2 linked regions of the Rhinolophus ferrumequinum genome follow. The protein of the gene in region 1 interacts with the protein of each later gene in a pairwise test. Links are inferred from orthologs where the notes say so. Each region holds a gene or a part of one and is shown in the gene's direction. Other genes may lie near its edges. The genes, in order: CHAF1A and MBD1.

Region 1 (11,736 bases):
AAGGCTATGGGGTATAGCGTCCTCCTAGCTCAGACGGAACCAATCTTTCAGTTCAAACTCTCTCCCTCCTTTCAGGCCAAAAAAAAAAAAAAAAAAAAAAAAGGTCAGGCCAGCATTCCAGCCAGCTGCCAGCTCTATCCCTAGTTACACTCTCAAATCTCCACACCACCCAGCCACAAGAATTATCAGGAAACCAGTTAGCAGCTTAGGCCTGGAAATCAACGTCTCCCAAACACACGACAATGACAAGTGAATTTTTGAGTCTGGATCTCACTAGTAGGGTTCCTTTACCCTTCTTAGCTCCCCAGAAATAATCATACACAAGCATCTTCCCCAATCCTAGCCATGCATAAGTACCAGATGGCTATTGGAGGAGTGGGCATTACACACGGAAGCCAGAGGGGCCCCAAACAGCCCAAGACAAATGCCTATTTTACTGTTTTCCTCTATAAATTCAACTTTCCTCAGCCCAGGCCCTCAACCCAGCCAGTGGCCAATTCATAAGAAGTAAAAACTCACAAACCTCCCACTCAAGCCCAAACTGATTTTATATACAAGACCTGAAAGAAAGTTTTCATCTGAGATGAAATGGTATGGAATTTGCCAGCATACTGCCCGATACAGGCAGACCTCGGAAACACTGCAGGTTTGGTTCCAGACCACGGCAATAAAGGCAGTCCCAATAAATCAAGTTGTAGTCTTTTTGCTGGTGTGTGTGTGGGGGGGAAGGTGCCTTCAATAGTAATTAGTTTGTTACCAGCATCATCAATGAGAATAGAAACTTTTAATTAACATCATAGCCTCACCTGTTAGAAACCAAGTTTCTGTTCCCAGCTCTCTCCCACATCCACCTGGCTTCTATTTCTCAATTTAGAAACAACACTGTTACAAGCCTTTGAAATCAAGAACCTGTTTCAAAGCAGGATTTCTCAACCTGGGCGCTACTGACATTCCGGGCCAGATACTTTTCTTGTTCCGGGAGGGCCGTCCTGCGCATTGCAGGCTGCTGAGCAACCCTCCCTGGTCTCCACACACTCGAAGCCGGGAGCACCTTCTCCCCAACTCGTGACAACCCAAAACCGTCTCCGGGATTGCGAAATGTCCCCAGGAAGGTGCACAGGGGTAGAGCAGAGAGAGCAGGGATAGTCAGCCCTGGCTGAGATGCACGGATGCAAACTTACACCTTCTCAAAAATACCAGATGCCAAAGACACTCTGGGGTTCTCAGGATGTGGATGCTGAGTTTTCTGTACATGTCCATCTGTGTATATGTGGTTATCTGTGTGTTAACAACTGGGAAGCGCTGGCAGCTGCCACAAGAGTGGCTCAGGTGGGATTTTTGTTGTTGTCTTTGTACAATGGCCCTCACTTTTCTCGCACCTGAAAGCAGGATTTCTCAACCTCAGCACTGCTGACATCTGGGGCCAGAGAATTCTTGGTTGTGGGGGCGCCCAGTGCACTGTAGGGTGTGAAGCAGCATCCCTGGCCACCACTCACTAGATACCAGTAGTAACCCAAGGTGTGACACCCAAAAGTGTCTCCCTATATTGCCCATGTCCCCTGGAGGGCGGAAGTGGCCCTGGTTGAAAAGCACTGTTCTAGAGGAGGATAAATGTCCCCAAATCTTTTTGTTTAAAAAGGGGAATACATTTACCCTTGGGCCAGATAAGTGAGGCCAGTTGAGACGGACTGGTTTAAAGCATTTACTGTCTGTTCACACTAAGAATTCAATAAATATTATTACTACATTAACAAGAGACATTCCTCTTCAACGGACAACCCTATTCTGAGGGCATAGAAGAGGATGAAAGAGGTATTCCTTAGACCAAGAGAAAGAAACACAATTAGATGAACACAGCCAGATAAACAATGGAGATGCTAGAGGACCGTGGAAACTATTGCAGAAGAGAATGGAACATAGCCAGGCTGATTTCCTGAGAGGACAACACAACCTGGAATTGACCAGGCGGCCAAGACGACCATGCAGGTTAGGACGTGGCCATCACAGCAGTTCTTTGAGGCTGGGCCTCAGCTAATAAACTGAAATGAACCACCAGCTTACACTGCACTGTGCTTGTCAGGTTTCAAAGCACTCGTCACAGATCTAAATGCAGGCCATCCTGTTTGCCCCTGACAGAAAAAGCTCTGGTGGCTGGCCTGAAAGGCCCAGCTAGTTCCTCTGGCATAATGTGTCTGATTGGGATGGGCCACCAGCATGGGCCCTGATAGCTGGGGGTGGGACAGGGAGGGCTCCCACAGACCTGTCTGCATGAAGGAACAAAGTGGCCCAGGAATTCTTCCAAGAACTATGGAAACATCAGTCCTGCAAGAGGGACTACATTGGGGTCCAAGACAGTGAGCAGCTTTCCCAGAAAAGAGACATCCAGTCAAGCACCCAGCGGTCTGCTGTCTGCTGGGCAGGGTCTAACCCAGGACCAGGTCACTTCATTCCATCCTGTTAGGTCAAAGGGCTGTACTCTCAGCAACAATCTCAGAATCCCTCGGGAGTAAGTCTCTCTTCCTCTAGGGTTTAGCCAACATCTGGGGTCTACAGACAGACTCCAAATATCTTTAGCTCTAGACAACCACTACGGTTGTGACTTTTCCCCTTGGGGGGCAAAAGGTACTAGCATGTGTTACTGGAGACGCATTTTTCTTCCCTCCCACTGGCCCTCTTCAAATTGGGAGTACAGCCCAGTTGGCCAGCATGGCCTAGACAATTTGGAGGATTACCACTCATTCCTCTATGGAGTCTATTCATAAAAACTCCACACCTATGGTTCTTAAGCTGGGATGCGATGCTGGGACTAGCAGTATTCAAGGAACCCAGGGCTTCTTGCCCCCGACTTCCCAAAAAACCTACACTACCCATCACATATAAAACACCTATATTCTTGGATTCAGCATTCCACTTCTGGGAATTTATCCTATAAATCCAATCCCCCCTGTGAGCAAAGGTATTTGCTAGCTATTCACTGCAGTATTGTTCATAGCACAAAACTACTGGAAACAGTATAAACATCCATCAATAAACGACTGATAAAATTAATTATGGTACACGTCATGAAATGGAATACCAGAAACCCATTAAAAAGATCCAAGAAGCCCTAGGGGTATGTTCTAGTGCAATAACTCTGGGGGAGAGGAAGGAAGGGGTTCCCCCAGGGACATCTGGCAGCGACCAGAGACATCTGTGGTTGTCACGACCGGGAGGCTGCTCCTATGAGTGAGTGGGGGCCAGGGATGCTGCTCAACACCCCACAGTGCCCAGGACGGCCCCCCCAACCACAGAGTGACCCAAGGTGGAGAATTCCAGCTTTAGTGTGATCTCCAAGACAGATTTAACAAAAAACTCAAAGTACATAGGACTATGTGGACTATGCTACACCACCTGTGTGTGTTTTTAAAGGGAAGGCGTACATATACCTTGGAAAGAGACACACATAAGTCGTTGGTGACAGTCCTTGTCTCTGAGGGAGATGGACTGAATGCCTGAGGGCCTGGAGTGAGAAATTGACTTTTCCCTCTACCCTTTCAACTTTGTACCGGGTCCATTGAAAGAGATTTTTTTGTTGCTGGTGTTTTTAAGTAGTTGTTCTAGACACAAAATTTTCCTGCCCCTGCGCTATCTGGCAAGAGTCGTGTGTCCACAGCCTTGGGACTGTTTCTTCCCTCTTCTCTCTCCCCCACCCGGCCCTTTCCAGGGAAGGCGAGGAGGGGTCCACGTCCCGGTCCAACCTCTGGGTGCCTCTCTCTGTCCCAGCCAGGGGTCTGCCCATCCTTCTCGAGAAGACTGGAGCCCACATGGCAGGCAAGGCCTGGGCCACCTCGCACCAAGCCCCCGGCCCTCCTGGGCTCTCCCCACCCTGCGAGGGACACGTGCCCTCGGTGTCCCCGGCCACCTCCCTAATTAGGGCCGGGCCTAACCCGACCCCTAATTCCGGGAAGCCGGGGCTCCGGGACTCGCCCTAGCTATGGCCTCCGCTTACCTGGCTCGCCTTGTAGAACTGCTTCTTCAGCCCCGCCACCGACATTCTGCCTTCCGCCGTCCGACCTCCCGCCGGGACCCAGCGAACCGGAGGGACAGCGCAAGCGACAGGCTCCCGGGCGCCGCCGACCCCCCGTGCGCCTCAGCGGGCCCCGTCGGCACCGCCTCCGCCGCCCTCTTGCCAGCTCCGCTCCCACCCCTGCGCCGCCTCAGCCCGTCGCGCGCCCGCGCGGCCAGGATATTACATGGCAACCGCACACTTCCGGCCCCGTCTGCGCACGCGCGCCCCCTGCTGTCCGGAAGGCGCACGCGCACTTCGCTTGCTGCGGGAGCGGCCGCTTCTGCCAGCGAGTGGACCCGGGCGAGCCTAGAGCGGCCCTGGCGGATGCAGCGTCCCCTGGAGTGCCGGAGGTGGCTCTAACGTCTTAGGAAATGCGCTTAAGCCTTTCTGGAGAGGTTGGGAGACTGGGTTTCAGTCTCCAGATACCTGTTTGCTAATCTCAGCTATACCGAATTCATCTACGCGTTTAGTCCCTCCTGTCTAATCCCCAACCTTGCCCCATCTTCATCCATTCGGTTGCCCAAGTCAGACATCAGGGTGTTGCTTCTACTTCCTTTTCACGATCCCCACTGTCCTCTCTGCCCTGACCAGACCACTGCACCAGCAGCCTCTTCTTTGGTGAGCCCACCTTCAGGTTTCCCCCTCCAGTTCATCCCTTACCAGGAAGCCAGAAATATGCCTCTGTAACATGATTCAGATCACAGTCCCCTGTTTAAAGTCTGCCTACTGCCCTTAGAATACATTCCCAACTTCCTAACATGGCCTACAAAGCTTGCACAATTTGGCCCAGTCAACCCTCTGATTTCGGCTCTCTTCCTCTTCTATTGTCCATGATCCCTGTTGCCTGTGGGCCTTTGCTAAAGTTGTACCTCTCTTGCACATTCTTCTCTAATCTTCCCCCCCCCAACATTTGTGTATAAGAGGAATCTGCTTGGAATGTCTCCTGCTCCAGGAAGCCTTCCCGGATTGATACATATTTATCAACAGTGACTTTTAAAATTAATTCTTATTGATGAAAACATATTGAATGAATTTGAAATTAATAATGAGTTGGAACAAGTAAAGAATCCAAAAAGAGGAACAAGAAAGTGACTAGAGCTAAAGTGCTTGCAACTTCAGTGCTGAAATCTCTGACACATTTTCTGAAGCAGAAGGGTACTGAAAGTTTCCAAATGCCTAACAGAAGGTATGGACTACATCAGAGGATTTTTTTCAGAATATGCATGCCCCCACCTCCCTCCCAAAGATTTTAATGAGGCTACTATGAATGATTAGAAAAAATAGCCCCTGTGATTATGATGGACACCCTCAACGGTGATCCATGGTCTAAACATTGCATAATCCACTGGTCTAAATCATTGCATAATGCCAAAATATCAGAGAAGAGAGAGAAAACGTCCTCAGGGTTCACATGGGGAAACTGAGGACTTTAGTAAGACATAAGTTGCCCAAACTGATGTCCCCAAATTTTCAATTTCTCCAGATTGCTTCCAACTAATTCTACTGATTTAATTTTATTCAATCTATAGTATCAATAGAATTTCAAATTTGGACTCCCTTTCAGTCTTCTGCTCTGCTTGAGAGATTAAATTTTTGCTGAAGTAAACCTGTTTCTAAGGCTTGCAGGCTGACACCGAGTGTTGTGTGTGAGGCTTTTAACCTACACGGATCACACAGTCCAAATGATATTTATGCATTCACGCAAGTATTTATTGAGTACCTACTAATGTATTAGTCATTGATAGGTCCTGGGGATACAGTGATTCATGATTACTGCCCTCATGAAACTAATGACAAAAACAGAAATTCAGTTATTAATCATGTAACAATTATGATTAATCATAAACATAAGCTGTAATTGCTTCAAGAAAAAGAACGTTGTAGGCACTTTTTGTTGGGGGTAAAGGAAAAAAGGTTTCTCTGAGGTGTCAATCTAAGATCTGAAAGATAGGTAGAAATTAGACAGGAAAGGAGTTACGGAGCTTTCTAGTTGAGAAAACAGCGTGTGCAAAAATCCCGAGGATTAAACCAGAAAAATCCATTTCATTAATTCCCTCTGAATATATTTACTGCGTATCAAATGCTTCTGAAGTATTGCCCAGATTTTACTTTATTTTTGTTTATATAAAAAGTAACTTAAAGTTTTAATTGCTGTTGGTATGTTTAGCGGATGTCCTATTAGGATACACCCACAACTTCAGTCTTCATCTAAATCGCAGTTTCAGGTTGTGACGCCGCTGCACGTAAAACGTTTCGTCATGACCCTGGCCCTCTCGCCTATTGGCCTAGCCCACGCACTCAGCCAATCACAGTGACGATCTCTCAGCTTGACACTCTCCACCGCCAATTGAAGAACGCCTCCTGCCCGCCAATGACGAGACGCCGGGAGGAAGACCGCCACTCCGCGGGAATATCAAAAGGGGAGCCAAGGGGGAGGAAGGGAAGCCACGGATCTCGCGAGGATGCTTCCAGCGCTCCCTTCTTCCCGAGGCGGGACGTCACGTGATGCGGCCTCGTCCAATCGGCTCGCGGGCTGCGGGGGTCGCAGCGGTTCCCGCCAAATACGAGCGCGGCGGCCGCGGCAGCAGCGGCGCGGGCGGGAGGGCGAGCAGTCGCGGCCGCCGGAGTGGAGCCAGCGTCTCCGCCGCCCGAGGGGAGCTCGAGCCGCCGCCGGGGCGATGTTGGAACAGCTGGAGTGCGGGGCGCCGGCCCCTAGGGGAGCGGCCGCAGGTCAGTTCCGCCCGCGCGGAGGGGAAGGGGATACGGTTATCGGCCTGTGCGGGCCGAGGAGGCGATTGGGGGCGGAAGGGCCTACTGATCCCGGGCCGCTTCTCTGCGCGGTGCGTTCGGTCTGTGAGGTCGTTACAATCTCGAGGAAGGGCCTTGCGACCCGAATGGCGCCCTCCCTGACGTTATTGTTGCAGCCGCGACCATTTTTTCCCCGTGCTTTGGCGTTAAGTTCGTTTTTCTAGGGCCCTTTGCGGTGACGGGTCGGTGTGGCCAGGAAGGGAAACTGAGGCCCAGGGAGGTGAAAGGACCGATTCTGAAGGTTGCATTAGTCTCCACTGAGCAAGTTGGACCCTGCAGCGACCCTCTGGCCGGGTAGGGAAACTGAGGCCCAGGGTCACAGCTGCGTCTGCGGGTCAGGGCAAGCCCAGGTAAGACGCCTGGATGGTGGGAATGTCAGGGAGCTGCGACTCCCTGATTCTTGATCCTGGTGGATATACAAGGTGAAGACCTGTCTTTCTCTTCTGTGTGTCTTGGAAGGGGTTTTCTAGCACCTAACAGCCCCCCCCCCATACGTAGTGTGGTGTACCAAAGAAGACTAGACTGCCCTCCCCTCTGCTTGACTCCCAGCACTTGGCAAAATGCTTGGCACATAGTAGGTGTCGGATAGATATGTGTTGGTTGAATAAATTAAGAGTTGGCAGGGACATCAACTGGACTAATTCAGGGTTTCTCAACCTCAGCACTATTGACTTTTGGGGCCCTCCTGTGCACTTGAGGGTGCTGAGTGGCATCCCCGGCCTCCACCCAATAGATGCCAGTAGCAACCCCACCTCCCCAAGTTGTGACAACCAAAAATGTATCCACGCACTGCCAAGGGCCCCTGCGGGGCAGAACCACTGTTCTAATTGTTTCCAGATTTGGGGATTTCACAAAGACATAAAATTCATATAAATAAAGTTGGGACTGATTGTCATGGACAGTCATTTGACCCAGTAAGAATGTTTAAAAAGTAAAAAAAAGCATCACCTGCTATGACTGTACTATTATAAAAGGAAAGGATATTTTAATAGCAAGTAAAATTAGGTGGGGTATAATATCAGGATAAAGAGCAGTGGTGAGTTTATATGTGAATGTGTCTTAATTGTATGTGTATCTTTGAACAGTCTAGAGGTCCCTCTTGGTTGACCTAAGGTCTGTTCTACTTGCATCAAAGTTGGTGTCAGATCCATACCAATAATTGCATGGGAATCCATGTGTTTGGTAACTGAAAGCTTCAGAATGATAGTGTCTTGAAATGGGTAGAATGGAAATATGAGTCTTCTGGGTACCTTCCTTATATTTCCAGCTTGGAAGTGCGGAGGGTGGTTTCATCTATGGACAGCTGAGTTCTTTAGAAATCCCCGATCTTTACTTGTATATATGTTGTACAAAACATATGTAGATTACCCAAAATAAACTGGATTTCTCCAAGCCAGATTTCCTAGCAGGTGCAAGCTTCTAAACTTATTCTGACTGTTTAAAGATATTTGTCCAAAGACTTGAACTATTTGCTCATATGGTCATTCCTGTATCAGCTGTGATATTATGAGATGCTTCTCTTGAGAGTTTTTTGATGCAGGAAAACATTCTCCCTTATTATTTTTTATTGTTTTGTTTTAAAAGATTTTATTGGGGAAGGGGAACAGGACTTTATTGGGGAACAATATGTACTTCTAGGACTTTTTTCCAAGTCAAGTTGTTGTCCTTTCAATCTTAGTTGTGGAGGGTGCCGTTCAGCTTCAAGTTGTTGTCCTTTCAGTCTTAGTTGTGGAGGGCGCAGCTCAGCTCCAGGTCCAGTTGCCATTGCTAGTTGCAGGGGGCGCAGCCCACCATCCCTTGCGGGAGTCAAGGAATCAAACTGGCAACCTTGTGGTTGAGAGGATGAGCTCCAACCAACAGCCATCAGGGAGCTCAGCGGCAGCTCAGCTCAAGGTGCCGTGTTCAATCTTAGTTGCAGGGGGTGCAGCCCACCATCCCTTGCGGGACTGGAGGAATTCAACTGGCAACCTTGTGGTTGAGAGCCCACTGGTCCATGTGGGAACCAAACCGGCAGCCTTTAGAGTTAGGAGCACGGAGGGAGCTCTAACCGCCTGAGCCACTGGGCTGGCCCTCCCTTACTATTTTTTGACAGCACTTAAGCTCCTGCCTAGCAAGCGCAAAATGCTTTAAGTTGCATTACTTTCATAAACTCTATTTAAAAAGAAAATCCTATTCTAATTTTACAGAACTAGTTGGATTGGAGAAGAGGATGTTTTGGGGTCATATTAATAGTGACATCATTGATACAGTGTTTTCTCTTATCTCTGTTTTTATTTATTACCCCCTTCATTGTTGCTGTTACTGTATTCATTGATTTCATACTGCTGTGTTTCCCCGAAAATAAGACCTAACCGGAAAGTAAGCCCTAGTATGATTCTTCAGAATGACATCCCTGAACATAAGCCCTAATGCATCTTTTGAAGCAAAAATTAATATAAGACCCAGTCTTATTTTCGGGGAAACACGGTATGTGCCAGATCCCGAGCTAGGTGGTCCAGGCAAGTCTCCCCACTGTCAGGGGGGTGGGGAGGAGAGACATAATAAACAATGTAAGTTTCAGAGCTATAAATGCCACAGGAAAATAAACAAAGAAGGTGTGACAGTGTCCAGGGCAGGATTTCTTAACCTACTGACATTCTGGACCAGGTAATTGTCAGCTGTAGGTAGCTGTCTTGTGCATTGTAGAATATTCAGCAGTATCCCTCTCTTCTACCCAGTAGATGCGAATACTCCCTTCCGCCTGTCTGGACAATCAAAAGCGCCCCTAGACATTGCCAAAGGCCCCAGGGTGTGGGTGGCAAAGTCACCCCTACTGGACAACCACTTCGTACAGAATAGGTGCTACGTATGTATTTGCTCCTTCATTATTTCCAGCATGTAATAACTTATCCTTTGACACTTTTATTCACAGCCATGGATTGCAGAGACCGACCAGTCAAGAAGTTAATACAAGGTAACTTTCCAGTAATGGGTTAAATATTTGTTCCAAATTTATATTCTTCATTGTCTCCTTAATTATATTTTTAATTCCCCTTGAGCAGCATTCTCAGAGGTAGCATCAAGGGGGGGGGAAACAGTTGCACCTCACTTTTAGAAGCTGGGGAACCCATTTTATTGCACTACTGTTTCCTTAGACTCCCAGGAGCAAATCCAGAGGTCACTGCCTTTGCAGCAGGCTTTCTCTACTTCAGCACTATTGATACTTTGTAATTTTTTGGACTGGAGGGTGCTGTGTTGTAGAGAGTTTAGCAGCATTCCTCGCCTCCTCCCTCAAGGCATGACAACCAATGTCTCCAGACACTGCTAGAGGTTGGCTGCTGAGCACAGCTGCCCCAGATGAACCACTGTTGTATAGGAAGATAAATATCCCTAAACTCTTTTGTGTAAAAGGGGAGTGAATTTACACTGAGGCCAGATTAGTGGCTGGTTGATATTAAAAAACCATGGTTTCTGGTTTTTAAAACTTGGTATCTAGTTCCCCCCCAGCCCCGCCCCCAATAGCAATTTGCCTTCTCCTGTGACAACCGATGGCAAGTTTTATAAACTGATAAATTATGAACCCTACCCCCAAACCCAGCAAGGTCAATCATTTTTGAGCACATGGAATAAAGTATTGATCGATTGTTACTCTTCACACTTTCACTGTAAAGATGGCCTCCTCCTGTGTTTCAGCTCGTCTGCCCTTCAAGCGCCTGACTCTTGCCCCAAAGGAGAAACCAGAGGACGGGTTGGATGACACAAGAAGCTCTCCGAGCGCTCCTGCACAAAGTCAAGTCCCTGATGTCGAAACCTCTTTGGACAACTTGAAGAACAGCTTTCATATGGGTTCTAACATAGATTTTAGGCCAAAAATTGTCAATGGGAAGGGTCCCTTAGATAACTTTTTAAGAAATAGAGTGAAAACCAATATTGGGCAGACCACGGTCATCATTGATTTGGTGGAGGACTCGAGTGACCAACGAGACGCCACGATGGCCCACAGTGAACTAAATTCTGCATCCTCTCCCTCCACGGAGGCTGTAAATGGGCTCAGAGGAGAAGCTGGATATGCAGAGGGGCTGCCACAGGCCAGTCAGAAGGATGAGCTGACATTTCCTGGAGAGACCCTTTCAGACATTCTGTGCAAAACAGAGGACGATGGTGTTGCCGGCTCGGGGGGCACAGAGAGGAGCAGAGATGCACAGAAAGGCTCACCCCAAAGCTGCCCCCAGCTGACACACAGTCTGAGAATGTGCTCCGAGAAGGACCAGGATGGTTGGAGCGAAGCCGGGGGCATCCTGTTCAGAGGGAAGGTGCCCGTGGTGGTCTTACAGGATATCCTGGCTGCGAAACCTCCTGGAGCCAAGTCTTCTCTCACAGCCCCTCCAGACCAGGGCGTGCTCTCGGAGAGTGACGTGCTGGAGTCCGGCCCCGAAGAAGACTCTGTCCTCAGCCCTTCATCCCTGAGCTCTTCTCCTACTAGCTCACCCGAGGGGCGGTCTGCTTCCAAAAAGCAGCACAGCAGCCCCTGTCCCTTCCCCACGTCCACACCTGTCCGCAGAGTGAGTATCTCCCCGCGTCTCAGGTTGTCGGTGCTGACGACGCTTCTGGTTCCGCCCCTGTTCACCTGGGCACACAGTATCCCCGAGGTGGTTAGTGGGCAAGTGAGAGGGGCCACAGACTAGGTCCTTGACTTCCGAGGTAGAATTTTGATTCTTTCCAACATCAGAAACCATGAGGGGTATTCAGTGACACGGACAGCTAGTGGCTGGGTTAGTCACCAGTGTGTCCATGACATTCTGGTAGCCTTTGTTCACCCCTAGTTAATGGTGCTGGTCAACTTAGCCATTGCAGGGAACGATGGAGGTCAGCAGAGAACTGTGAACCCCTCATGTCAGACT
Region 2 (12,057 bases), on another chromosome or scaffold:
CAGGTGGGGCTTTGAGGGAGGAGAAGGAGCCATAATGGGAGGCTGGGTCTCAGGGAATAGTGATACGTGTCTGTGGGCAGAGTGATTGTTCTGTAGTGAGCAATAATAGAGAGTCACACTGGAGGGGGCAGCTGTACTCTGGAGTAGGGGGACAGACCATTGGGTGGGACAGGAAAGAAGAGGGAAAAAGAGTTCTGGGATAACCCAAATCCCCAATGTCAGCCTCCCCGGCCTCATCCTCTGTTCTACAGAGAAAGACCCCAAGCTGGAGATCCGCTATCGGCACAAGAAGTCACGGGAACGGGACAGCAATGAGCGAGACGGCAGTGAGCCCCGGGATGAGGGTGGAGGGCGCAAGAGGCCTGCCCCGGATCCAGACCTGCAGCGCCGGGCGGGGTCAGGGACAGGGGTTGGGGCCATGCTTGCTCGGGGCTCTGCTTCGCCCCACAAATCCTCTCCACAGCCCTTGGTGGCCACACCCAGCCAGGTGAGTGGCTGTGGTGGCAGGGATAAGTAAGGTGATCCCATCTCAGGCCCAACTTGGGTTCCTGACTTGTGTTCTGGGCCCCTTCCTTCAGCATCACCAGCAGCAGCAGCAGCAGATCAAACGGTCAGCCCGCATGTGTGGCGAGTGCGAGGCCTGCCGACGTACTGAAGACTGTGGCCACTGTGACTTCTGCCGGGACATGAAGAAGTTTGGGGGCCCCAACAAGATCCGGCAGAAGTGCCGGCTGCGTCAGTGCCAGCTTCGGGCCCGGGTGAGCATGGGCAGAGCTGGGCAGGGTCAGGTTAGGGGGCCAGTGTGTTCAGGAAGAGCTCATTGAGCCTAGGATGGGTGGGCTAGGTGGGGTGGGGCCTAACTGCATAGAGACAGGTGGAAAGGAGCCAGGCTTGTCCAGGTGAATGGGGCTTGGCCAGGTGTGCTGGGCTAGCAGGGGAGACCCCCAAACCCAGGAAGTCAGGGTAGGGCCAGATGTTTCTAGGTCGTCAGACATGTCAGAGCAGGAGGAACATGGCTCAGCATGTCCTAGTGATGAGGGGTGGGGGGGCAGGTGTGCCTGGGTAGGCAAGGTAGGGGCTGGTTGGGGGGGCCAGGCACTTGTGGGAAAGGCTAGGGCAGGGCCACCCTCCATCCACCTGGGGCTGACCTGGGCCTTCTCCTGCCGGCACAGGAATCGTACAAGTACTTCCCTTCGGTGAGTCCAGCCCCCAGGGCGGGGCGGGGCATGCGGGCAGGTTATTCAGGGCCAGTCCTGAGATTCTGCCCTGCAGCTCTCGCCAGTGACGCCCTCAGAGTCCCTGCCAAGGCCTCGCCGGCCACTGCCCACCCAGCAGCAGCCACAGCCATCACAGAAGCTGGGACGCATCCGTGAAGACGAGGGGTCAGTGGCGTCATCCGCGGTCAAGGAGCCACCTGAGGCTACGGCCACACCTGAGCCACTCTCAGATGAGGACCTACCACTGGACCCTGACCTCTACCAGGACTTCTGTGCGGGAGCCTTTGATGACCACGGCCTGGTGAGCAGGCAGAGCCACCCAGGGTGGAAGGGGGGAGGTTACAGAAGCAGAGTATCCATAATGAGGAGAGAGGAGGCAGATGGTATGGAAGGCTATTTGGGAACTGAGTAGGTGGTGGGGAAGTCATGAGTGGGGCAGGTGGGTCACTGTATGCTTCACTTGCAGCCCTGGATGAGTGACACAGAAGAGTCCCCATTCCTGGACCCTGCGCTGCGGAAGAGGGCAGTGAAAGTGAAGCATGTGAAGCGTCGGGAGAAGAAATCTGAGAAGAAGGTGATGGAGAGGGTGAAAAGGATGTGGGAAGGAAGAGGGCACGGGCTGAATGGGGCGAGAGCCAGAAAGGGGTGGAATGCAGGGAGAGATGGGGGTCTGGGCTGACGTATACTGTCCTGACCTGCCTTGTCCCATAGAAGGAAGAGAGATACAAGCGGCATCGGCAAAAGCAGAAGCACAAGGACAAATGGAAACACCCAGAGCGCGCAGATGTCAAAGACCCCGCGTCACTCCCACAGTGCCTGGGACCTGGCTGTGTGCGCCCTGCCCAGCCCGGCTCCAAGTATTGCTCAGACGACTGCGGCATGAAGCTGGCAGCCAAGTGAGTCATTCTTGGAGGGTTCAAGGCAATAAGGGAGCATAGAGTAGGACTTGACCAGATCCCTTTGTATGTCTACCAGTCAGTTACCTGTCCACCATTCAGTCAACCACCCACCTATCCATCCTCCATCCATCCACCGTTCGGTCACTTATCTGCTCATCTATCTACCCTTCAGTCACCTATTTGCTTACCTTTCACCGTTTAGTCACCCATTCATTCTGCCATTGTTGGCTGACCCCAGTTGCTCATCTCTCGATTGCCACCTTCCCACTTACACTTAACCCACTGCTCCCTACAGCCGCATCTACGAGATCCTTCCCCAGCGTATCCAGCAGTGGCAGCAGAGCCCTTGCATTGCTGAGGAGCATGGCAAGAAGCTGCTCGAACGCATCCGCCGTGAGCAGCAGAGTGCCCGCACCCGCCTTCAGGAAATGGAGCGCCGATTCCATGAACTCGAGTCCATCATTGCACGTGCCAAGCAGCAGGCTGTGCGTGAGGATGAGGAGGTGAGCAAGCATGCGCATGGCAGCGCAGGGCCCAGTACTGGTCCTGCCGGGCCTCATTCCTTCTATTCCATGCAGAGCAACGAGGGCGACAGTGATGACACGGACCTGCAGATCTTCTGTGTCTCCTGCGGGCACCCCATCAACCCGCGTGTGGCCTTGCGCCACATGGAGCGCTGCTATGCCAAGGTCAGGGTGTCAGCCTGAGAGGGGCACACGGTGCAGGAGTATCACTGGGTCCGTGGGGGACAGATGTGTTGTCTTGGGAGGGCATGCAGCGCATGTCCACAGTTCCCTCCATTTGTGTTCATCCTTCCAGTATGAGAGCCAGACGTCCTTTGGGTCCATGTACCCCACACGCATTGAAGGGTGAGTGTGGGTACTCTGTAGGGTTAGGGCTGCAAAGTTAAAGCTGGGGTCAGAAGTGGAATGTTGTGGCAGGATATGGGCATGGGCAAGGATAAGTGAGACCTCTTCCTTCTCTCCCCCCACTACGCTCTCTCTTTTTCCAATACCCAGGGCCACACGACTCTTCTGTGATGTCTACAATCCTCAGAGCAAGACATACTGTAAGCGGCTCCAAGTGCTGTGCCCTGAGCACTCACGGGACCCCAAAGTAAGGTTTTCCCTCAACTCCCCCCATTCTGACCCTCCTACCTTCCTCACCGCTCCACCTCCTTTCCTTTTCCCACCTGACCACTTCCATAACTCACACTTTCCCTGCCTCATTACCCTTCATTCATCTTCTTTTGTACTCTCTCATCATCTCCTTTTCCTCCCCTTTTCCCTGCCTCTTCATCCTCTGTTCCTCTCCTTTTCCATTCTTCACTCTCCCTTGAACTCTCCATGCCTTCCCTCCTTGACCACTCCTCATTCTTATTTTCCTTCCTGACTTAGCACCTCTCATTCATCCCCACTCCATCTCCCTGCAGGTGCCAGCTGATGAGGTATGCGGATGCCCCCTTGTACGTGACGTCTTTGAGCTCACAGGTGACTTCTGCCGCCTGCCCAAGCGCCAGTGCAACCGTCATTACTGCTGGGAGAAGTTGCGGCGTGCTGAGGTGGACCTGGAGCGTGTGCGCGTGGTAGGTTTTGATGCCGGATGTGGCCAGGGTGAGGTGGGTCTTCCAGAACTCCTTCTCATGGCTCTTCTCCCCTGGCAGTGGTACAAGCTGGATGAGCTGTTTGAGCAGGAGCGCAATGTACGCACAGCCATGACAAACCGGGCAGGATTACTGGCCTTGATGTTGCACCAAACAATCCAGCATGATCCACTCACTACCGACCTGCGCTCCAGTGCCGACCGCTGAGCCTCACTGGCCCAGACGTCCTCACACCCTGCATTCCAGGCGTGGGAGCTTGCTGGAATCCTCTTGCTGTTTGTAATGGTCCCTGAGTTTTTCCTTGTGCCCGCCCACCATTTGACTGCCCATCAGCCCTTACCAGAGGGTCTCAGAATTTCCTCCTGTCCTTGTCTTTCCCATTTTCTCTCCATTTTTTGTTTCTGGGTGGGACTGTGGAGGCTGCTCACTCTTGCTCAGCCTCCCTGGTTTTGTTAATAAAATTTTGTGAAGAACCAAGAAAGAGAACCACTGATGGTCTCCCAACTTTACCCAGTTGCAACTGCATTCCCAAACCCCTGGGGTAGATGGGCCGTGGCACACCTGTACTCATGAGGGACTGCACTGCAGTGCATGTGTAGGCTGAGTATACAACTGGCACCCACTTGGTGCAGGTTCCCTCCTTGAGCTGTGGGCATACGACCTGCTGAGGGAAGAGCCCAATGGCCCACCATTCACAGCCTCATTTTGAGACAGTCCAGTCAGCACTCGTTCAGTGTGTGGCTAATCGATTTACTACTGCTGTGTGAGTGTTAATATTCTCCAGACCAAAGGTGTACCCGATGATCCCAAGGCCCCCTCTTTCCCCACGAACCCCTCTTTGGGGACATGTATGCAGCAGGAGTCCACTGACTTTGTGCCAGAAGCCTCACCCCACTCAATCTGCTTGGCAGGTCCAGTGGGGCTCACAGCTTGGCCTTTCCAGGATGGACCTGCCCTCATCCGTTGCATGGACCTGGCCTTTTGTTTACCTGTAGTGTGGCACTGCCCCCTTCCCCAGTTCTGGGGAAAGAGCTGGGGCCAGCTCAACATAACTTGTCTCTGCTCTCCTGCAGCTGTTCAGTGGGGAGGAGAGAGCGGGATACAAGTCTTGGGGGAGGTGTTCATAGGGACTGGGGCACCTGCGCGACCTAGGCGAGAGGAGGGCTCCAGCACAAGACCAGGCATCGCCGTGCCTCCCTCCTGGTTACTCCTTGTGGAGACCTAGCGTGAGCTTTTCATGACTATCAAAGTATCAGTCTCACACGTCTGTTCCACCTCCTGCCCCCCACTCTGGTTCAAGCCGTTGTTTCTCAAGTCTAGTTGTGTAGGACACAGCTCCCTGGCCCATGCTGGTGTTATGAGCCTTGCGCTCCCCCGGCTGAGGCAGTCGGTCGCGGGTCGGCGGCTCACGGCAGCTCTCATAGGCTGCCGGCCACGCACGCTGGCTGCACCTGGCAGCACACGGTAGCCCACGGCAACACAGCAGCCCAGGATGAGTCGTCGTTCACAATCTTCGGTATAAAGGGCGCAGCTCACTGGTCCATATGGGAATGAACCAGTCACCTAGGCGTTAGGAGCACGGCGATCCAACCACCTGAGCTATGGGGCTGCCATATGTTTGTTTCTACAATGTTAGACTTTATTAGAATTAAAGCCATGGATCTAGTCGTACCGACTGGGTTTACCACAGGCATCAACCAAGGCTCTGGCCAGAGGATAGCCTCCAATGGTCGAGGTAGAGCAGTTTCACACAAGAGGTTTGCAAGCAATAGGGTTAGGCAAGGTGAACAGTCTTAGGAAAGAAGGAGAGAGTCCGCTGTTCACCGAGAGTCGCTGGAGTGCTTGGGTGTCAGGCTGGGCAGGTGAGGCCGTCAGGAGGCAAGACTGCAAGCGCTCGGTCTGAGATGAGTGCAAATGCGGCTGTCAGTTGAGGCCTGAATGATGAGCCCTCAGAGAGCTCTGTTTTCGTTCTCAAGCCTGGGTGCGGTGCACCCATCTGTAGTCAGATAAAGCCTTCCAGATGGTCACTCTCCACCGTGCGCCTGGATAGGGTGTTCTGGTTATCTGGTTTGGGCATTCACTGGGTATGCCTTTCACGTGCTCTGGCATGACTGTCACTTTGTGACTGACATAACTATCAAAGTCATAAGTAACGCTCTATACAAGACCACTTAGGTAAGGAATTCCACGGGCCAACCCCAACCCTCTACGCCCCCTCAGGTTGGGACCAGAGAGCGCAGGCGCAAATAAGGTGGGCGGAGCGGGGAGAACGCGCTGGCGGACAACGCCAGAAGCGCACGCGCTGCGGAGCTCGGATAGGGACACGAGCCGTAGTTGGACTCAGCGCGCAAGCGCAGCTCGTCCTGGCAAAGGGCGCGCGCAGCTGCGGAACCCAGCACGCAGGCGCAGGATCCTCCCTATTAAGGGCAAGCAGAGGCGGTCATTAGCGCGCAGGCGTCTCGCTGGGAGCGGAACCCGATAGGCGGGCCCCGGATTTCCGGTGTCGGGGGCAACGAACGGCCGCGGCGGCGACAGCTACCGTTTCAGAGGAAGCTGCAGCAGAAGAGGAAGAGGAGCAGAGCCAGGCGGGAGGTACAGGCGGGACCCTCGTCATGGGTCCGCGGACCTAGAGCGGCGGAAGCTACCGGCCCGAAGCCGAGCTGGTGAGACAGTCGTGGGGGTGGAAGTAGAGAGCGCTCAGGCGGAGGATGGTGAAGAATTGAGGCTCAGAACCCTGACGGAGCGGGCCCTCGGGCCGATGAGTGGGAGGAATGGCGGCGTCGGAATATTGAAGTGGAGGAATGGGTAGATTTTAGACGGAGGACGGAGAGAAATGGGGCTCAGAACGCTGACAGTGGAAGTGTCGGGATCCTGGACGAGGACGGAGAGGAGTGGGGGAGGATCCGAGCGCTCAGGGGAGACATCGGGGCCTTTCACGTTAAGGAGAGAAATAGGTGTTCAGACCCCTGAGGGGAAGAAATGAGGTGCCCTCAGGCTGATGACGGAGAGAAATAGGGGCACTGGGATGCTGAAAGGGAGGAACGGGTCTGTTATGGAGGACGAGGAGAAACGGGTCTGAACACTGACAGGATGGCATGGTTCTGGGACAAGAACAGAGGAATGGAGGGTGTAGAATGCTGAGGGGAGAAAGCAGGATCTTTTAGGTTCATGAGAGGAATGGAGGATGAGGACGCTGAAGGGAAGGAGAAGAGAACTTCCCGGCTGCAGAAGAGAGGAATAGAGAGGTTCGGGGGCGAGATGGGGAGGAATTGTGGCTCAGAACACTGAGAGGGGACACAAGGGGGGAGGATTTCAAGCTGAGGAACAGAAGGAATGAGGGGCCATTTAGGTCAGGGTTATGGAGGAGTTGGGGACTCGGGCAGAGGACAGAGGAAACCGATGTAGTAACGCAGAGATAGCAGGATAAAAGGACATCACAGGGAAGGAATGGGAGGGTTAAAAGGCCGAAAGAGAGAAATTAGGGACTCCTGGGTCAAGGAAGGTAGTGAATGGGAATGAGAATCCTGACCGAGTGCCGGGCCCTCAGTCTGAGCAGGAGTGGAATGGGAGCCGCTGGGCCTGAGGATGGGAGGGACGAGGCCTCTCAGGCTGAGGATGGGGAGTATGAAGGTCTTGGGGACAAAGGAGAGGAGTAGAGGGCCAATAGGTGACAGAAAATGTCTCGTGGGCCAAGGACAGCGAGAATGAAGGGAAAGAGTGAGAGCCTCCTAGGTTGTCATTGGGCAGAAATGATGGCATCTCAGGCTGAGAATGGGGAGGAACGGGATCAGGACACTGCGAGTGAGGAATGAGGACCCTTGGGTTGAGGACGGGGCTATCAGGTCACAAGGGTGAGGAGTGTCAAGCTCCTGGGCCTGGGACAGGGAAGAGTTGGGTGGGAATGGGGGTTTTCTCTTCTTTATGTTGGCCAATTGCCTGTGGCAGGTCCCAGGTCTTGGGCAAGTATTAATAGATACCAGTGGTTTGTGTGGCTTGGGGCATAACATGTCACCTCCTAGAGCCTCAGTTTCTCCCGTTGCTCCTCCATGTTGCAGGCCGCTGCTCCTTCCCGTGGTCCCCATGGCTGAGGAGTGGCTGGACTGCCCAGCCCTGGGCCCTGGCTGGAAGCGCCGGGAGGTTTTCCGCAAGTCAGGTGCTACCTGTGGACGCTCAGACACCTATTATCAGAGGTACTGGGTGGGTTGTGGACAGTCAGGAAGGGCTGAGCCTGGTTAGGCAAGGTGAAATTGGGTGTGGTTAAATTTATGGGTGGAGCTAAAATTATGCATATATAGTCAATCCTTATTACTTGCAGATTCTGTATTTGTAAATTTGCCTACTCACTAAAATCTGTTTGTATCCCCAAAGTCATTACTCAGCTGTGTTTTCGTAGTCATTCGTGGACATGCACAGAACAGCAAAAAAAATTTAAGTCGCCTGGTGCACGCACTCCCAGCTTAGGTTGAATGAAGCGTTATTTCAGCACTTGTACTGTATCAAGTCCTTTTCATGGTCTACTTAGTACCAAGCTTTTTGAATTTTTGTGATTTTTATTGCTGATTTTGCTGTTTATGATGGTCCTAAAACTTAGTGCTGCAGTGCTATCTAGTGTCCTAAAGTGCAAGACGTCTGATTTGCCATAAGAAGAAAATACATGTTAAATATGCATCAGCTTCATTCAGGTGTGAGTTGTAGTGCTCTTGGCTGTGAGTTCAGTGTTAATGAATCAAAAAATATGGTACATCTAGAAAAGAAAGAGGACGTTTTTCAATTTGTATGTGAGGCTCCTCCAGAAAGTGCTAAAGTAACATCTGTAGTACGTGATGAAGCTAAGGAAAAGGTGGGAAAGTGGCTAAATTCATAGATCCATGAAATGATGAACAAATACAAAGTGTAGTGGACAGCACTGTGAGTCCTGAAAGCCAAGGACATTGATGGTCATTTCTTACCCAGGGTTAAGAAAATGTTAAACCTATTACTGCTAGTGCGGGCTGTCTCACAGGTTTCAAAAGGTGATAACGTTGTTAAAAATGTGAAATTTTCTTGCAAGGCAGGTTCTGCAAATCAAGAGTGCTGAAGATTTTTTAAAAATACCTGCAAAGTGCTACATGGGAAAAGGGTTGGGTAGAAGAGTAGATTTTCAGTGCTGGCTTGTTTTATAAGGACGTTGGCAAAGAAACCTGTATAATGCAGATGGCCTGCAAAGCTTCTGGCTTTAAATCAGTCAAAGCCATGCAGTTCATTATTTGTAAGAAGAAGATATTAAGTAGGGTGTCCTTTAAACAGAAACACACAAAAAACAAGGTTACATAGGATTAGTTTACAAGAATGTTGTGAGTAGAGGCTTGTAGGAACCTAACCTGTAGTTCCACAAGGAACAGTGGTTCTGTATTCACTAATTCAGCGTAGACTTTATAGAACCAGATGACTTTATAGAACATAACTACGATAAATAATGAAATTCAACTATAAATACACAAACTTACGTGTTTATAAACAGTTTACATTTAAGGACTTACGTTACTTTAAGGTGTACTAGTGAGGGAGGGGATGGGGAAGAAGGTGAAGGGATTAGAAAGAGCAAATTAGTAGACACAATATAGTCACGGGGATATGAAATACAGTATGGGGAATATAATCAACAATGTTGTAAGTATTATGTAAGGTGCCAGATTGGCAGTGGACGTATCAAGGGGATCACTTCATACTGTAAATGCACGATCAATGTGATGTACAAGTAAAGCTAAAGTAGGATAAAACTGTATGTCAACTGTGACTGTATGTGTGTGTGTGTATATATGTGTATATATGTGTGTATATATATATATATATGTGTATATATATATATACATATATATATATTTATGTGAGGTGGAGATAGCATAAGGAAGATAGTCAATGGTGTTATAACAGTTATATAAGATGTCAGAGGTTGCTGGTTCGATCCCGCATGGGCCACTGTAAGCTGCGCCCTCAAAAAAAAAAAAAAAAGATGTCAAAGGAGTAGTAGCTTGGGGCGGGGGCTTATCACTTTGAGAGGAGTGTAAATGTCTATTAAGTTGCTTTGTACACCTGAAACTAATAATAATAAAAAGAAGATATACTAGTGATATACTAATTAAATTTTCTACACTCTTCATGAACCTTTTTTGGGTCTAAGTTGCTGTTTTCCTGGAGGAATATAATAACATTACAAATACAGTTACATTTATATTTAGTTGTACATTTATTCACATATTTACAACTTGTATAAACGTTCAACATTGATAAATGTAAGTGCAATTATCAAGAATTGTAGAGGATCTGAGATTTTTACCCTACTTAGGTTAAGATAACAAGTGTCAGTTTAGTGGATGCTGGTAGGAGATAAGAGATTCCTGGATCAGGGATGAAAGAAAATTTATTACTCATAGCAATAACAGTATCCAGAATGTCATAATTTTTGTGTGGGTTCCCAGAATGCCAATTCCGACAGGGTCACATGAAGAGGGCTAACTAGCACACCTGTACCTGTAACTGGGTTGTATTGTGGGAAAGGAACCCTGAGCTTAAGGAATCCAATCTATTATAATGTTAGGACAGTAAGGATGTCTTCCCTTTTCTCTGGAAGGAGACCCTTTCTCTTACCTTCTAGGGTTGTTTGCTGTATAAACATCCTTGCAAAAAATAGTAGCAAAGGACATTCATTGCTTCTCTTGCAAGACATGCAGAAGTACCGTGTTTCCCCGAAAATAAGACCTAGCCATACCATCAGCTCTAGTGCCTCTTTTGGAGCAAAAATTAATATAAGACCTGGTATTATATTGTATTATACCCAGTCTTATATAAGACTGGGTGTTATATTATATTATGTTATATCATGTGATATTATACACCTTGTCTTATGTTAAAATAAGACTGGGTCTTATATTAATTTTTGCTCCAAAAGATGCATTAGAGCTGATGGTCCGACTAGGTCTTATTTTCAGGAAACACAGTACAAGGGATCTGTGGAGTATTGTCTCCCGACATTAGTTACTTATACTTTATTTTGTATGTAGTTACATTTATTTGGTTATACATTGGTTTGTTTGTATGTTTATATGTACATTTTTATATGTATACTTTTAAACACTTGTTTCTTATGTAAGTTTTTTTGTTTGTATATTTAGCATGCAAAACTAGCATATTTACATGTTATTTAATATATTTGTGTTTATTTTCACTGATACAGAATACCATTAGTAATATGTGTTATAAGCACACACATATTCATTTACGTTTATACTATTAACGTTTGTATACTTGCTGGCATTTATACACCTTTAATATTTTTGCTATTCAGGGTTAGTTGGGGTAGGGCCTGGTCAGAGCTCACAGGCCTATCCCAGGCTGCCTCCTATATTCCACCAGCCCCGCAGGCCTGTTTGCTAACCCAGTGGGGAGGTTGTGTGGGTGGAGAGGCAATGGCACCACTTGGGTACCAACCCATCCTGGCCCACCCCCAGCCCCACAGGAGACAGGATCCGAAGCAAAGTTGAGCTGACCCGATACCTGGGCCCTGCGTGCGACCTCACTCTCTTCGACTTCAAACAAGGCATCCTTTGCTATCCAGCCCCCAAGGTACTACACAATGTGGGGTACATGGATGTAGGGGTGGCTGAGCCACCTAACACCCTCCCACTGACCTACATTCTGTCTGCCCTTGCTATCATCTCCAGGCCCGGTCCTTGCCTGTCCCCAGCAAGAAGCGGAAGAAGCCTTCGAGGCCAGTCAAGGCTCCGAAATGTCAGGTTGGATCCCAAAGAAGTGAGGACAAGAAGGAGGCCCCAAGAGTTGAGACCAAGGCTGATGCTGACACAGCCCCAGCTTCTCTCCCTGCGCCTGGGTGAGTGTTGGCCTAAAGTTGACCACGTGGGTGAGGATTGTGGGTGGGGGTACACTCAGGGACTACACCCATGTTTCCAATCCCAGGTACTGTGAGAACTGTGGAATCAGCTTCTCAGGAGATGGTACCCGAAGGCAGCGGCTCAAGACATTGTGCAAGGACTGCCGAGGTGCGTGGCTCCCGGGGCACGGGTGGTAGGAGCTGGAGCAGGCCGGGTGTCCGACTAGGACATTGGTGGAGGGCAAGAGGTCGAATGATGGCTGTCAGGGCAGAGGTGGTGGATGAGGTCGGAATCTGATGTTCCCTTTTCCGCTTCTCTTCTTACCTCTCCTTCCACCCAGCACAGAGAATTGCTTTCAACCGGGAGCAGAGGATGTTTAAGGTAAGCACGATCTGCCTCTTCCTCACAGGTGTGCGCTGGCAGCAGGATGTGATGGGGGCTAGTGGAGGGTCTGACAGAACAGTGATGGA

The links.
Region 2: the proteins of CHAF1A (region 1) and MBD1 interact in binary tests that used the Homo sapiens proteins (3 or more experiments, as listed by UniProt). The link is inferred for Rhinolophus ferrumequinum from reciprocal best matches to the Homo sapiens genes CHAF1A and MBD1.

What each region holds. Positions count from the first base shown.
Region 1 is NC_046301.1:59,303,503-59,315,238, reverse strand, and holds the start of CHAF1A (chromatin assembly factor 1 subunit A), read left to right. Parts: upstream 1-6,459; 5' UTR 6,460-6,510; coding exon 6,511-6,778; intron 6,779-9,767; coding exon 9,768-9,809; intron 9,810-10,528; coding exon 10,529-11,397; intron 11,398-11,736. Other genes in the region: SH3GL1 (endophilin-A2), read right to left, coding at 3,989-4,033. UniProt on the Homo sapiens protein: Acts as a component of the histone chaperone complex chromatin assembly factor 1 (CAF-1), which assembles histone octamers onto DNA during replication and repair.
Region 2 is NC_046302.1:41,087,234-41,099,290, reverse strand, and holds the start of MBD1 (methyl-CpG-binding domain protein 1), read left to right. Parts: upstream 1-6,187; 5' UTR 6,188-6,382; intron 6,383-7,774; 5' UTR 7,775-7,799; coding exon 7,800-7,909; intron 7,910-11,206; coding exon 11,207-11,321; intron 11,322-11,419; coding exon 11,420-11,586; intron 11,587-11,672; coding exon 11,673-11,755; intron 11,756-11,927; coding exon 11,928-11,968; intron 11,969-12,057. Other genes in the region: CXXC1 (CXXC-type zinc finger protein 1), read left to right, coding at 252-487, 579-758, 1,173-1,196, 1,273-1,518, 1,684-1,791, 1,929-2,113, 2,412-2,619, 2,695-2,805 and 4 more. UniProt on the Homo sapiens protein: Transcriptional repressor that binds CpG islands in promoters where the DNA is methylated at position 5 of cytosine within CpG dinucleotides. Binding is abolished by the presence of 7-mG that is produced by DNA damage by methylmethanesulfonate (MMS).